Rhinolophus ferrumequinum: one gene and its partner. The protein of the gene in region 1 binds, or shares a complex with, the protein of each later gene. Links are inferred from orthologs where the notes say so. Each region holds a gene or a part of one and is shown in the gene's direction. Other genes may lie near its edges.

Region 1 (7,525 bases):
CACACACACAATAAGATATAAAAAGCCAAAGGTAAAGCAGAAGTTCTTTCATATACAAAGTAGTCCTGCAAAACTTCTTTGAAGTTGATTCTCATATTTTTATTTTACAGAAGAAGAAACCAAGTATCAGGAAGTATGAATCATTTAGTTAAGTCTCAAGGAAGTAAATAGCAGAGCCTGGATTTTGATTTGCTTTTTTATTTAAAGTACAGGGCCTTTGCCCACTCTGTCCTAGATATCTCTCTTAGGTTTATCAGATTGAGGTAGTTGTAAAGTTTTTCTTTTTCGTTTTATTTTTATCATATAAATAAGAGCACCTGTTCTCCACTTCTCTGGATGTTTATGCAACAACACAGTGATCAAGGAAAATATTGCAATACATTTACATTCCCATTATACACACACACACACACACACACACACTTTGGATGTCCCTTTCTCTCCTGAGCTTGAAGCCACTCTAATAGTGTCACGGGTAGTATTTATGTCTGTATTTCACATTAATAGATGTTAATCATGTGTTCCATTAACATCCAGTCTCAAAAAAGCAGGACTAAGCTATTAAAATAAGTGTGGGATGACGGCAATTATATGAATAACTAAAGCTAATATACTTTGAAATTCAAGGAGAAGGAATGACTTTTACCACTTGCCTAGATCCATCCTAGCTATTAGTAAATGCATTGTTTTGAAGCAAATATTTTTATGGGGAAAAAAATGTATGATATGGTTTTGATGTCAATGTTAAATTTTGACTGATAATTTTTTCTTTCTTCAAAAGAAAATCTATGCTAAGCAAGAAATATCAACAAAAAGGCAGACATTTCTATTACACAGATAAAATATAATAGAAATTAAACTTTATATGGTTAGAATACATGTTATATAAAATAATTAGGTTTGTAATAAGTTAACTCTTGTACTTATAGTTCATTTCCTTTAACAAGAGACATGAGATTTCATAGCAGAGTTGAGATCACTCTGATAGGAAATGTGTAATGTTGGAGAAAAGGGAAAACTCACGATAGGGCAACTAAGATATAATGGAAGCTGGAATTTGAGGTTCTTTTACACTATATATTAAGTGGTTTTTAGTGGTTCTTTCTATAACAGCTCTTCCCTAGCTTTCTCAAGGCTATCGCAACATATTTGAAAGAGAAATTTAATTTTTTTCTGTATTTTGCCCAGTTGTATATTGAATAGATGTGAGATACTGAGATGGTAATGTACTTTAAGAGGATTCTGCAATGATATCCAGAAAATCCTGCATTCAAAATATATATAATAGTTGTCCTTAAGGAAACTTGAGAAAGGGTAATACAAAAAGAAAACATCAAATTTCCATTAAAAATAAATAGTTGAAGCACAAAGTTCAAATTCCTACTCCATACAATGATTATATTTTTTGTAGAATATAATGAACAACACATAATTGCTCTTTGACTAATTCTAGAAGAAAAGTCATATGGTTAGTCAATATGTCTACACAGTTACATCCTGGCTGATTAATACAATATACTGAGCTAAAAAGTACAAAACGTTATTATTGAAACATTCATAAAATGTTTTGTTTTTAAGCTGTGCCATTTAAAAATCAAAAAGATTATTTTAGGTAATGTTATTGTCTTCTTCAGTTTGGGCTGCTATAACAAAATACCATAAACTAACTGTCTTATTAACAACAGAAATTTATTTCTCACAGTTCTGGGGGCTGAAAGTCCAAGATCAGGGAGCCAGCAAGGTCGGGTTCTGGTAAGTGCCCTCTTCTGGGTTGCTGTCTTCTCATTGTGCCCTCACATGGTGGAAAAAGAGAGAGAAATTTTTCTGGGATCTCTTTGATAAGGGCAATAATCTCATTCATGAAGGCTCCATCCTCATAACCTAATTACCTACCAAAGACCCTTCATCTCCTAATGCCATCACATTAGGAATTAGGATTTCAACATATATATTCTGTGGGGACATAAATATTTAGTCCATAGCTCTTATGAAAAAAATATGCTAATTATTTTCAATTAAATTAAAATATTATGTATGTACATATATATATAGAGCGAGAGGAAGGGAGTCCACTATGCATTAAGTAGTGAATGGGCCTGCCCTCAGGAAACTTATTCTAGAGTAGACAAAGCAGGGAAGGTAAATAAAATATATCAAGTAGGAAGCATGCATGTAAAAGATGACAGAATCACACTTCCAAAAGATCTTATTAGATTTGAATCATGAACTGCATCTAAAGATGTAATTTGAAAATAAAAATCCTATACTGTTGTACTCAGATACCTCTGAAACAACTATAAATTTATAGGAGAGGAAAACATGACTCATCAAGTATAAGAAGTAAGCTCCTGCATTCGAAAACTGTTGTCTCTATCTTTTCTTAACTCCAGCACCTGATCCAAAGTAGATATTTAATAAGTATTTGTTGAACTGACCTGGATTGTGTTTAGAAAATTTTGTCAATACTAAACCTAAGGAGGGTCAAGAAAGCAGTGTGTTCAAAAAGAGGAGGTTTAGACTCTTCCTCACTTTTCTTTGGTTAGGCCAAACTTGGGGCACTGCTTTTAACTCGAACTGTACATTAAGAGCAGATGAACAAACTATAATGTGAATAGAAAAGAGGCAAGGCTACTAAAAGAACCCAATACTACATCTTAGAAACAGCTGAAGGGAGCTAATGTTTAACTTGTAGAAGAGATTACTAAGTTATTACAAACATATGAAGTAATAATAACAGTTATCATTTATTAAACAACTACTGTGGCATTCTGTGTCTCATTTAATCCTACTAACAGACATATGAGGTATTGTTACCTTTTTTTTTTAACTGATAAAAAAAACTGTCACTCAATAAGGTGAAGTAACATATCCAAACTCATACAGCTAAAAAGTTACAAATCTAAGATTCACCAAATGATTTTACTTCAAGGCCAGGGCTTATGACATTGTACCTATTTGTTGTTCACATGAAGTCAGCTTAGGCTGGTTGTATGTGTCTTCTAGAGACAGAATAATGGCAGACAAATTTCAGCTCAGTGTGAGTGAATTGATATATTAGTTTATAGGACAAAATGTGGTCAGGTATTTTTATTAGTCTCTAGGAGATCTTTGTGACATTTTATTGCTGAGAGTATAGCCTATAATGTAAAAGGATAAAAATAAATACTGAATACTGGCAAAACAAGAAATGATAAAAATAACATTAGAATTACATCTTCCTTCCGAGTTCCCTCATCCACTCCACTTCCTGCTCCCCAGAAGTATAACTTTCTACAACCAATGACGGCATTTGGTGCCAATGTGTATTGTTAAAAAAAAAAAAAAAAAAAAAAAAAATATATATATATATATATATATATATATATATATATATATATACACACACACACACACAAACACACAGATGTGTAAAAATGAGAATGACTTCAAAATTAGTGTTAATTTTACAAGGAAAAAAAGCTTACCCTTGGTTGATTTACCAATTTATTTCTAAAACAGAAGTATTTGTGGACTTCGAAGTGAGATATGACACTTAAAAATGTATCAATATTCCTCAACCTTATGTGGGCCACTCCAGTTCCAGTTGTCTATGAGATTCCTCCTGGAATCAAAACACTAGAAAACAGACTGAATGAAAGCAAATGGTGTTTGGTTTTAACAATGTTCTACTGAGAAGCACACATCCATGTAGGAAGTCTGGAGATAAAATGGATAATTAATAATTCCAGTGGATCTATGGGATTTAAGATGTGGAGGTTAACCATTATCTTTTGTTAACTTTCCTGGAATTCAATGATTTCTGTAACCCATTCTTGTACCTCTTCCCACCCGGAAAGAAATCAGATGCAACAGGATCTTCTACTCTAGGAGAAAACAGGGAAATATACAATAAGGGGGATAGGTTTTCTCCACAAAAGTTGATGTTACCCATTTGTTTTTCAGAGAAATGCTCACTCTTGTTTCAGGCATGTTTGAAATTCTCATTTAGCAATATGAAAAACACAGCTACATTTTCAAGTATGTGTGGGACTGAGGCACGGAGGACTAAAGAAGAGGAATGTGTGTTCCCTGCCCTAAATGATTGCGATAGACAGTAGGGAGTTGGGGTGTAAGGGTTGCTTGGGTTGCAAGAGACCAATGTCTTTCCTGTCGTATCATACAGAGAAAACGGCGCTGGGAAAACAGTGATGACAGCCCCCACCCTTTCTTATGCTTTACTGCTGCCAAAAACTGTCTGTCTCACTCCCCACCCCTTCCTTCCAACTCTCTTCCCCATTCTGCCCCTCCTTAGAGGTGTTTGCACAGACGAGGGCCAAGTGGGGAGAACAACTCCTTGGACTGCTTTGCGCAAAATCCACCCCTTCTCTCTCCTCCCTCCCCTCCAGCCTCTGGATCCCGCACAGCCCTCTGTCCCCTCCCCCAGCGGTGCTGTGTTGGGGATGTGTCTCTGTACTATTAAGGTGGGAGGGGGGCTACAAGAAGAGGATGACAGATATTCAGTTCTCCCCCTTCTGCCTGACGTTCCTCTCTAGCTCCGCCAGGGTTGGTCTGTGTAAGAAATAGCAGGAGCTGTGGCAGCGGCGAAAGAAGCGGCTGAGGCGTGTGGAACCTGAAAAGTCCGGGTGCTCGCGGTTACCTCACAACGTGGTCCCAGCCGGCCGCCAGCACCATGGACAGCGGCGCCGTCCCCGGGAACGCCAGTAACTGCACTGATCCCTTCACGCGCTCTTCAAGTTGCTCCCCAGCACCTAGCCCCGGTTCCTGGGTCAACTTCTCCCACTTAGATGGCAACCTGTCCGACCCGTGCGGTCCGAACCGCACCGAGCTGGGCGGGAGCGACAGCTTGTGCCCTCCGACCAGCAGTCCTTCTATGATCACGGCCATCACCATCATGGCCCTCTACTCCATCGTGTGCGTGGTGGGTCTCTTCGGAAACTTCCTGGTCATGTATGTGATTGTCAGGTAAGAAAGGCGCCAGAACTCCGAGCGGTGATTTCAGGGACTACTAGGGGCATAAAGGGACACCCGAGCCCCCAGGCAGAGTGTTGGGAGGGAGGATGAGAGAAGAGAGGTAAAAGGGAGAATGTGAAGTGACAATGAATACAGAGTGGTTATTGTTTGAGTGCAAAAACCTACTTTTCCATTCCACCCCCACCCCCCAGTGATAAAGAAGAACCCCAAATTTCAGGAACAGAAAAGTTGCTTTGGTGAGAGCTATAAAGCTCCCACCAAAAAAAAAAAAAAAAAAGTGCTCTATCTTAGAGCTGGCTTCAAGAGGGCTCTGGGGCAGAATCCCACAGTCCTTTAGGCAGAAGTTGTGGAAACAGTAATTTGTGACTAATGCAAGAGGAATTCTAGTTTATTTTCTCTCATTGGGGGCCAGGTCTCCTTCTCAGTTCTTTTCAGAGTTGAACCTGGGCAACATTCCAACTCCTGCTAGTTTCTTTGCTGTACCATATCCCCACCGTCCCCTTCCCTTGTCATGTAGTCCTTACCCCACTCCACCTCCCAGTCCTAAGGCCACACTCATAGAGGAAGTTTTCCTGGTGTCTCGCCACAGTGTTGCTTTGTTGTACCAAATATGACAGTTGTGTTGCCTAGACTAGTTTTTTTAGTTAGCAGCTGCTAGGGAGATGTGCTAAGGAGATCTGACTCGGGAATAGGTAGGGTGGTTCAAAAGTGCAGGATGTAACTGTGTTTCAATGCCTCCAAAAGGAGGAACCAGCTAGAAGTGACCAAAAGCAGCACAATTCTGCATTATAAACTATTATATAGGAAGTTGTAATGGTTGCTCTTAAAAAATAAAAAAATGTCTTTATCCAGGGTAATGATTTCAAAAGAGTTTGTGGCCGATTTTCTGTTTCCCAGATGCTCTGGGTTTACTTGGCAAAGAGTATGCAAACGCTCGATATCAATTGAGATTGTTATAGATTGTGTTAGTATTATGCACGTTCAAATCCTACATTTTAACATGGAATAATACATATTTACGTTTGTTAAAGAAAATAATGATTTTAACACTTTATTTAGGATTTTCTTCCTATTGGGGGATCTGTGTGTTCTATGTATGTAGTGAACATGGAATTTTCATGGTGAGTTACAATATTTGCTTCATCTATTCTGCAAATAGGGCAGGTTTCAATGGAGCTCTTTAACCATTCAACAATCCATTTTCCCCATTATGTTTCTGAGTTGCTTGTAATTGATTTTCTACTTATATGTCTGATTTCTTTAATTAATGATTACTACAGAATAATACTAATTTCTCTGATCTTTTGATGAGGAATAAGATAAGTAACGTCTCTGAGAAAACAGCACCATCTATTGAGAAGAAGGCTAACAACAGAAGATAATGCAGGAAGAGAATCAATGGAAGACTTTATTTTTATAAACATTTACTTTATGTAATCCAATACAAAGATTCATATCAAAGATAAAACCTAAATCTCATTTTGCAATTATTATAATAAAAATCATAATTTAAGGCCTGCATTATGAAGGGAAAATATGTTTCTCATTTTTCCTAAGAAAATTCATGAAATCATAAGCTTATAGGACCAGAAGTGACTCTAAAGATTATCTATGCTAAGTGAGTAAACTGAGGCACAGAAAACATAAATGATTTCTTCAAGGATAGATATTTAATTAGTTCAATACCACTGAATTTCTCTTAGCCAATATAATTTTCTGTTTATTAGAGTGGCAAATCTTGATTTGAGTTAATTAGACAAAAAGATTGACAGAGTAGGTTTAGGTAACAGTAATAATGTAGAAATGATAAATTTTCCCAATTTATGTCTGGAATCCTGGAGAATAATGGATGAATCTAAACTGCCAAAGTATCTAGAAATCCTGCCATATGAAACATAATATTTTCTTCCCTTTTATTGCTTCTCTTGGTATTTTCCTTCATCATTTTTCTCCCCTCTAGTTTATGCTTTTCTATAAAGGGAGAGTCAATAGAGCAGCAACTGGCTGTCGATTAAGCAAATTGGTCTTATTCCAGGTTTAAGAGATTGCTGGTTAGGTGAGTTTGTTTTAAAGGCATTACCTCTAACCTCTTGATGACTTGGAAAAGGATGGTGACATTTTATCTTACTGAGAACATGATATTATGCTTTACTTCTCTGTACTGAAAGTTCTACCAAAATGCCACTATGATTTGAAAGGACACCCAAACATCAACCTGTGGCAAGTCAGGTGTTTAATCCAAGGTCAGATGACCCACTGGGAACATGAATATGAAACAGAAAAATAGACAGTTCAGTGACGGATGGACTGATGAGGAGAGTATCTGGGGATTGAAGAAAGTTTATGTAGCTGAGAATATTTAACTGGACTGTCTCCAGGTTGTGGTGTTTTCACTACAAAATGATGGGTTCAGGGATATTATCGTCCCTGTTAAAACAATGAATTTAATGCTGCATCTATTAAAGTATGGAGATAAAATGCTCACTTCCTGCTACTGTTTAAAATTCAACAAATAATTTTGAATGGTCAAGTACATAGTTACGGTTTTCTAACC
Region 2 (8,273 bases), on another chromosome or scaffold:
CGGGTCCGTGGCAGAGCGCCGGGCTTCCCATCATTCCCCGCTATCCAGGCCCCGTGGTCCTCTGATCAGCCTCCTTACCGCTACTCCAACTCAATCCCTCAAGGGTCCCCTACCTCTTCCCCTCTTGCCTCTGACTGTTTCCAGCCTTTTCCCTCTTTCCCTTCACCACGTGCACCCAGCATTCCAAGAATATAACAGAGTTTCTCCTATTATACCGCATGCTGTTCCCTCCGCCTGGAGTGCCTTTCCTGTCTTCATCCTGGTGACCTATTGTATCACCGCTCAGCCCAACTCAGCACCCCCTTCTCTGGGGAGTGCTTGCTGACCACTCATCCCCTTGACACGCAGGGCAAATCGCGTCCAGATGCGTGTTGGGAGGCCTGAGCCTAGGTGGCAGAAGTCTGTTCCTCTAAAACTGCCATGCTGAAGAGAGCACATGGCAAGGCTGCACAGAGATACAGACAGGTGTCTGAGGAGGCCCAGCTGTTTAAGTCTTCTCAGTCCAGGAACCAGTCATGTGAGTGAATGGCTTCAGGTAATTATCACCTCAGCCTTTGAGCTGCCCAAGCTGATGCCGAGTGAGGCAGAGACAGGCTGGCTTTGCCAGACTCCAGATTCTGCTCAAAAACCCCGGAACTGCAGATTCATGCTCAAAATGAATATTGTTCTTTCAACCCATTAAGTTTGGGAGGTGGTCTGTGATATAGCATTGGATAACCAAAACAACTGTTATCACACTTTGATACCTTTTCATCTTTATCTCTATTTGTATCTCCATTGCTAGCTATATTTATATCTATATCTTATCATACTTCACTTAACCACATGTAGCCATAATTTTATTATGTCTAGAAGTAAATATTGACGTTATTATTTTGAATGGCTGTGGAGTAGTTCCTTGTATGGCTTTACCATAATTTTTTATAATTATACCCTACTATAGGTATTTAGTTTAATTTCACTTTATCGCTACTATAAACAATATTGAATGAGTAGTCTTGAACAGCATTTAGTGTGGTAATGTCCCCTGGATAATTCCCAGGAAATGCTGGGTTAAAAGGTAAAGACTTTGGTACAGGCAGGAGTCCATCGCCCTCCCACGGGTTATCCTGTAAGTTCACCTGTGTCTGCATCTTCCCCGACCCTCCATCCCTGTTACAGACGAGGAAGGCCCTCCACTGTTTGTAGGCCAGGTTCTTCCTCTGGATCCCATCTCGCTTATTTAAAGCTTGGATTACTTGGTTTTTTCCCCCCACTCTTATCTGCAACATCAATTTCCCCCTCTCTGCTCAATCATTCCCGTTAGCGTGCAGCCATGCTCTAGTACCTGTCTGACCCTATGTTACTCTCCCCCACTGCCCCAATCCACCATTAGATTTCCAGAAAGAGTTGTTTTTATGCCAGGACCAAAGGGTAAAGTAGTAAATCCACAAAAATAATGGGGAGATTTTAAAAACATACTTTAATTAGTAACTAATGGAATAAGATGGCAAATAATCAGGAAGGATACAGGTATAGAAAGGATATAGAATATTTGAGCAACCATAGAATACATATTCTTTTGAAGTGAACATGAATCAAACATTAATCAAAATGGACCACATGCTCATCCATTAAGCAGCTTCCCCTCCCACCCCCTCCTGCCACACACACAAAGGACTGAAATCAAATAGAGCAGATTCTCTGACCACAGGAAAATTAGGCCAAAAATTAGTTTCAAAACATAACTAGACAACCGCCAATGTTTGGAAGTTAAACAGAACAGTCTCAATAACCCCTAGGTCAATCAAGACATCTCAATGAAAACAAGAAGATATGTTAAACTAAATGGTAATAAAAATATGACATATCAAAACTTGTGGGATACAACTAAAGCCATACTTAGAAAGCAACTTACATATGTCTAAAAGAATAAAGGTTAAATATCAGTTATCTAAGCAAAAGCATTTATTTAGTGTCCAACTTGGGAGGTAGAAAAAGAAGAACTAGTGAGAAATTAGAAGGCAAGAAATAACAACAGTTGAAATTTCAGAAATAGAAAAAAGTGTCATGCAATAGAGAAAATCAACAAAACAAAATTGATTCTTTAAAAACACTAATAAAATTGATAAACTCCTAAGAAAACTAATCAAGAAAAAAGAGAGAGGACATAAATTACCAATATCAGAGATAAGAGGGGACCACAACTCCAGATTTCACTGATGTTAAAAAGAAGACAAAATAAAAAATTTTAAGTCAATAAATTTAAAGATTTAGATGAAGTGGACAAATTCCTAGAAATATGTATCTTATTAAAATAAAACTGACACAAGAAGAAGCAGACAATTGAATAGGGCTATTTAAGTAATTGAATCTGAAATTTAAAACAGTTCAATAAACAAACAATCTTAAAGACCTAGATGGCATCACTGATGGATCATCCCAAACATTTGAGGAAGAGATCAACACTATTGTACACAAATTCTTCTGCTGAACTATAAAAAAAATGGGGTGGGGATTTCCAACTTATTTTATAAAGACAGTATAACTTTAATACCAAAATCTGAGAAGAATTCTACAAAAAAGGAAAATTACAGGCCAATCTCATAAACATGGATGTGAACATCTTAAATAAAATATTAGCAATTTGAACCCAGTGCTATATAAAGATAACACGTCATAATGAAATAGGGCTCAATCCAGGAATGTGTGGTAGGTGTAAACTAAAAATCGACAGTGTAATTGATCACAAGATCAGAAAAAAGGGGAAAATCATATTATCGTCTCAGACGATTAGGCTTTCAAAGAGGACCTAGTGACACAAGGAAGTGAGGGCAGCGCTCATTGCTTTCTGGTGACATCAGCTGAGGTGGGAACAGCAACCTTCCTGTTCTTTTTATTCTGAGGATGGAAGTGACATCTCTGTCCAATGCCCATGGTGTTGACAGTACCACTTGTGGCCTCCTGTTCCCAGTAGTAATCTGGTTTTCTTTCTCATAGGATCCAATCAGCAGCCAGATTTTGGCCATGATTCCAGCCACCTTTTGTCCCTGCCCATTTTGAAATCTTGGTTCCCCAGCCTGCCCAGTGATTCTAAATGTGTTTCAATGGCCTTTCCATTCTGTTGCATGTAATTAAGAACTCAGCTGACAAAGGAAGACAGAAGCTGGGTCAATCTGAACTTATTCTGGTCTGGCTTTTCTGCTACTGCCAGCTGCCTCTTGAAGTTATAAAAATAATACAAAGGAAAATAAGATAAAATCACAATATGATTTAGAGGCTCACAAGCCTGGAGGTAGTGGGGGTAGGACTGTAGAAGAGGGAAGACTGAGTGGAAATTTTCCCCAGCAATGAAGACTACGTGTACAGATGAGATGGGAATGCAGTTCTCTGGAGAAGAGAGAAAGCCATGTTTTACGTCACAAGTAGGACAAGTGGCCAAGGAGGGCTTCAGAGAATAGGTGATGATGGATGAGCTGGATCTTAATGCAAGACTTCAATTTTCCTGGGTGGATGGAGAGAGGAAGGGTGTTTTAGTTGGGGGGATAGCATGGACAAAGAGATGGAGGCTTGAGAAAATTGTGTTCATGGGAAAGGGAATGTTGTGGGTGGTGCAAGTGCCAGGATGCAGGATGGAGAGGTGGACGATGGCCTGGGAAAGAAGCCAAGACCAAGGGGTAAACCGCCTCGTTTACTGGTGAGGAGCTTGGATCTTTCCCATGGCCCAAAAGGAAAGGATTGCTGAACACAAGGCAAATGTCACTAATCAGACATTCTCAAGGAAGGGTTGGAGTCCAAAAGGGCATCTGGTTGTGAATAACGATAGTTCCTTGATTTGAAATCAAGCACCTTGAATTCAAATCAAGCACCTTGATTTGAAGTACAGGTGATTTTCAGTACTTCCACCCCTGTAACTCCTCACAATTTACTTTTGCTTTTTTTTTTTTTTTTTTTTTTAAAGGAGGACGCAGCTCACAGTGGCTCATGCGGGGATCTAACCAGCAACCTTGGTGTTATTAGCACCACACTCTAACCAACTGAGCTATCCCGCCACCCCTGATTTTGCTTTTTTACTCCAGTTAAGGAAGAGTATCTTCCACTTGCAGGTTTGAGTGCTGTCTTCTCCTCCCTGGCCTGACATTTGGGATTGGAGCCAACCCAGACCTCCAAGGCCAGTCTTGGAGAAGATTGAGACCACTCTGCCAGTTCATGGCCATGGGAAGGGCTCAGATATCACAAAGAAAGTACTTCAGCTACTCTTCACAGAGCACTCCTCCCCACCCCCCCATTAATAGTCTAAAGTTAATAGCATTCTCTTGGGGTTTGTGGCACAGGAGAGAACCTACCTGGGCTAGTTCCTTGGGGAGTATGTGGGGGTGGGGGCAGTGCCACTCACCTTCACACCCCAAGAAGGCAATCTGTCTTGGGTCTCAGGTGTGTGACTCCTGACCTTCTCTGCCCCAGGCCCCTGCCTTCCACCCCCTCTCCGGGCCCCTACCCGAAACAGAGGGATTGTGATTCATGGTGACATCTTCACACCAGTTACCAAACTTTGGGGAAATCTGAGGTATTACGGAAGTCCTCCCTTTGCGGTGATATTTACCTGCAAATGCAAACGAGGTCAATGCCAGCCCAAACACGCACACAAGTAATTTTACCCTCTACTCAACGACCTCAGAGGGCGCACCAGGCCCACCCTACACCGGAGTGCTAAGCCGCCTGGTTGTCTCAGCTGGAGACCTGACACCGTCCTTAATTAAGTTGTTTCCTGAGGGCTGCCAGCTGTGCCTTTCTGCGGGACAGTGTTAATTCCAGCCTCGGAGGGCAGAGATCCAGCCCCCTTTCCGGGCACGTCTGTCCTTGCGCTCAGCCCCTACCTGGAAACCCCCCCTCCTGCGCTCCATGGCCCCCCTTCCTATGGACGGGGGAATTGCTTGTCACGCTGCCCGGGAAGTTCACGTCCAGCGCCCACTCTGGCGACGTATATAAGGACCTAGGACAGCGACCGGGACCAGGCGGCGGCGAAACAGGAGAAAGAAGGGAAGAAAAGTGAAGGACGGACAGAAGCCGCCGAGCATCCTCCCTTCCGGGCAGCGGGAGTCGCCCAGACAGCAGCCTCCCCACGACAGGTAAGGGTGCAGCGGCGCGGAACCTCGCTTTTACCCCGGGACACCCTGCCCCGGGAACGCGGGAAGCTGTCGCCCGGCTCCAGTCGCCAACCTGAGGCGCCTTTGGCTCGGCGCAGTCCGGAGTCCTTTGAAAACTTTCTGCACTGAATGTGGTGTGGGAAGTCACCGGCAGCAGAGCCGCGAGGGCCAGCTCCGGACGGTGGGTGAAACGGCTGCGACGCTGAGCGGTGTCTTTCAGGAGCTGGCGGCCGCGTTTTCCCCCCGGGGAGTGGACCCCTGAGAGTCCTACCCCGTTCTGGGGAGATCTCAGGAGAGCCCGGGCTCTTGGCTCCTCTTCCTCCCGATTTTCTGGGTAGGTGTCACTTAAAAGATACCATATACTCTAGCGCAAATTAACGTTGGAAATGGGAGCAGGAGAGAAAGGGCTAAAAGCCACAATCAGCTCCTTGCATCCTAGACATTTTTTATTTTTTTATTTTTTTTTATTCAGACTCCCAAATCCTCTTTTTTCTGCTCACTTTAGCGCACCCGACGTGCCTGCGCTACGATGATTCGGGTCTCCTCTAGGGGATCCAGCTGGGGTTAAAAGAGGTGGCCCGGGCGGGAACTATCCGAGGTCCTGAACCACCCTGCCTGTCCCCTCAATAGGACCGCAGAGTGGACCTTCTTTCTATCCCGCAGACCCTAGATTGCAGGGTGGAAGCAGCCATTTGAAGTGGCGGAGGCTCAGTCAAGGGGGGTTTCCAGCGAAGGAGAGGGAGTCTTCAAGGCATTTGGATCCCCCAAATTCTTCGCGTATAAATGGGGGAGGTGGTGGTTCTCACAGAATGACTGGAAGGAGTCGAGGAAAGTAAAAGTGTGCATTTGTTTTGTCAGTTGTTAAGATATGTCCAGTTTATGGCTTATTTAATGACTTAATCCTTCCACACTTTTGTTTTAGGACTCCATGCATGTGTATCATGCTGCAAGGACAAAATTCTGCACCCCTGCTCTTCTAATCTTTACAGAAGGGCATTGCCACTGTGCAATTTTACAGTAGCACACAAAATATTTTGTTTAGCTCACAGAGAATTCACCTACACATATGAAGTTCTAACAAGTGTAGTTCTATCATAAAGCTAATGCCAAAATTAACAAAGTACAGATTTCTATTTAGTTTTCCAAGGCTTTCAATGATTGGATTATAACCCTCTCCCTACTTACAAAAAGTACAATATTTGACATCTCCCCATTACTATATTGCTTTTTAAAAATGGCATAAGGCAATATTTATTCAGTGTAGAAAAATAGAGACTACATACAAGCAAAAAGAAAACATGTTGCTTTCAGGAAACAATCTTTTTAGCAGTAGAATGGAGCTCTGAGAGGATGGGGAGTGATAAAATTACCACGTGTACAACATAGCTAGTGGGGCAAAAGGTAAGGAAATGCTCTCAAGGGGCTTTTCAGGGAGGCTTTAAATCATGAGGTAGGTTTTTAGAAAGTGGAAATCATTTCAGAACGACAATTTTGAGGAGACTTGAAATACAGTTGAGGGACTATCAGACCTGTATGATTTTACTTCTTTCTCTACCGATGTGTTCTTTTACCCTTGCCCACAGTGATATATAACTACCGTTTTCCTGTTTCTCTTGTAAATCTGGGCATTTTTCTGACCCAAATGTACTGTGTGGTCTCAGGGCTTTAGTATAAATTGCCTTGTCCAGCAAGTTCAGGCTTCATACTTGAACTGGAGAATTAAAAGGCTACAACAGTAGCATCTTGTCCCTGGTCAGGACTGGCCATCAAGGTGGACCAATGCTCTCCCAGTTGCCCCTTCAGCCTGATATGCTGAAGGGCCAGCTCACTGGCTGCCAACGCCATCTAATGGCTGCTCTGAAAACACTCAGGTGGTTCCTGGCCGCCATTCAGAAGGGAGCCCTGAGCTGGCTCAGCTTTTGGGGAAAGGAGTGGGGGTGGGGCAGAGAGAAGGAAGTGGCTTCCTGAAGTAGACAATGAAAGCCAGAGAGAACTTTCACTTCCAAAGCTTTCCCTATAAAATAAATTTTGCCCACGCCTCCACTAATGAGAGATTTCTTTCAGGCAAACTTATTTTAAAATGCAAATGTGCATTAGGAGAGACAAACAATTAGTTATCCTCACCTTAATGTGAATTACTTTTCTCATCTAATTAGGTTTCTTTCTAACAGCTGGGTTGAGAAGATCTTCTGAAATCCAAAATGATTGTGGGGTTGGTGGTGAGAATTTGGGGTCACTCCAGGGGGCTGGCCTGGGTGAAGGGGTACATGGCAGCATGAAACCTAGAGGGCTGGTGAAAGGGTTGGGCATGGGGGACAAAAGGCAGCATCAGGAAGCCTTGGTGCTCCCCTCTTTACTGCATCCTGACCTTTTGAACTCAATATCTGCCCAGAGGTTCTTCCTGACGTGGGAGGTCATTCCCTTCTGCTATGTGTGTCCATCTCCTTCCCTTCTACACTGACAGCATCTTTAATCCAACTATTTCAGAGAAACTCAGAGAAACTTAGAGAACAAGTGATCTGACATCTAATGTGTTCAGAAGATGAGTCAGTTTTCAAAGAATGGGGGTCTGCTTTAAAAATAAGTCTCTCCAAAGATGCAGTGCTCTGGGAATAGTGACCACCTGAGTGACTTGTGTACAGGGCATCAAAATGGGTTGGCTAAGGTTTTGGCTAAATTGGCCAGAGGTTTTATTTGCTTCTATGTAAACCAACTATTCATAGGAAATAGTTTCTGAGGAGTGGTAGGATCGTGGTGCGGAGGAGGGGAAAAGACCATCTTGAGCAGGAGTTTCAGGGTCCTGTCTTTCCCAAGTTTCTCTTTGGATCTGGAGTGTCAGAATTATAGCTTCATGAAGGTGGTGACGTAGGAAAGTTCTGTGTTGGAAACAGGAGAACTTAGCCTTAACCTTGTCATGAATACCCAAGTTATTCTCTCTCTCTGGGCCTCAGCTTCCCCATCTCTCAAATAGAGGCTGGACCAAATGACCTCCAAAAGAGCTTCCAGCCCTAACCTCCTTTAGGGTCTGATTTTAACAGGAGATAAAGGAGAACTTGCACACGCTTTGCCCAGGTCCCACTTCCCTCCTCTCTACCACAATTTGTCCCACCACCCTGCACACCAAGCTTCTTGAACTGCTCCTGTCCT

What was found.
Region 2: the proteins of OPRM1 (region 1) and POMC are in contact, whole or in part, in a cryo-EM structure (PDB 8F7Q), measured with the Homo sapiens proteins. The link is inferred for Rhinolophus ferrumequinum from reciprocal best matches to the Homo sapiens genes OPRM1 and POMC. Residues at the interface, in NP_000905.3 of Homo sapiens: Ser66, Met67, Ala70, Ile71, Met74, Gln126, Asn129, Tyr130, Leu131, Met132, Gly133, Trp135, Val145, Ile146, Asp149, Tyr150, Met153, Arg213, Ile217, Asp218, Cys219, Thr220, Glu231, Lys235, Val238, Ile298, Val302, Lys305, Trp320, Ile324; in NP_000930.1 of Homo sapiens: Tyr237, Gly238, Gly239, Phe240, Met241, Thr242, Ser243, Glu244, Lys245, Thr248, Pro249, Leu250, Val251, Leu253.

What each region holds. Positions count from the first base shown.
Region 1 is NC_046286.1:96,561,693-96,569,217, forward strand, and holds the start of OPRM1 (mu-type opioid receptor), read left to right. Parts: upstream 1-4,219; 5' UTR 4,220-4,669; coding exon 4,670-4,962; intron 4,963-7,525. UniProt on the Homo sapiens protein: Receptor for endogenous opioids such as beta-endorphin and endomorphin. Receptor for natural and synthetic opioids including morphine, heroin, DAMGO, fentanyl, etorphine, buprenorphin and methadone.
Region 2 is NC_046296.1:54,938,225-54,946,497, forward strand, and holds the start of POMC (pro-opiomelanocortin), read left to right. Parts: upstream 1-4,953; 5' UTR 4,954-5,108; intron 5,109-8,273.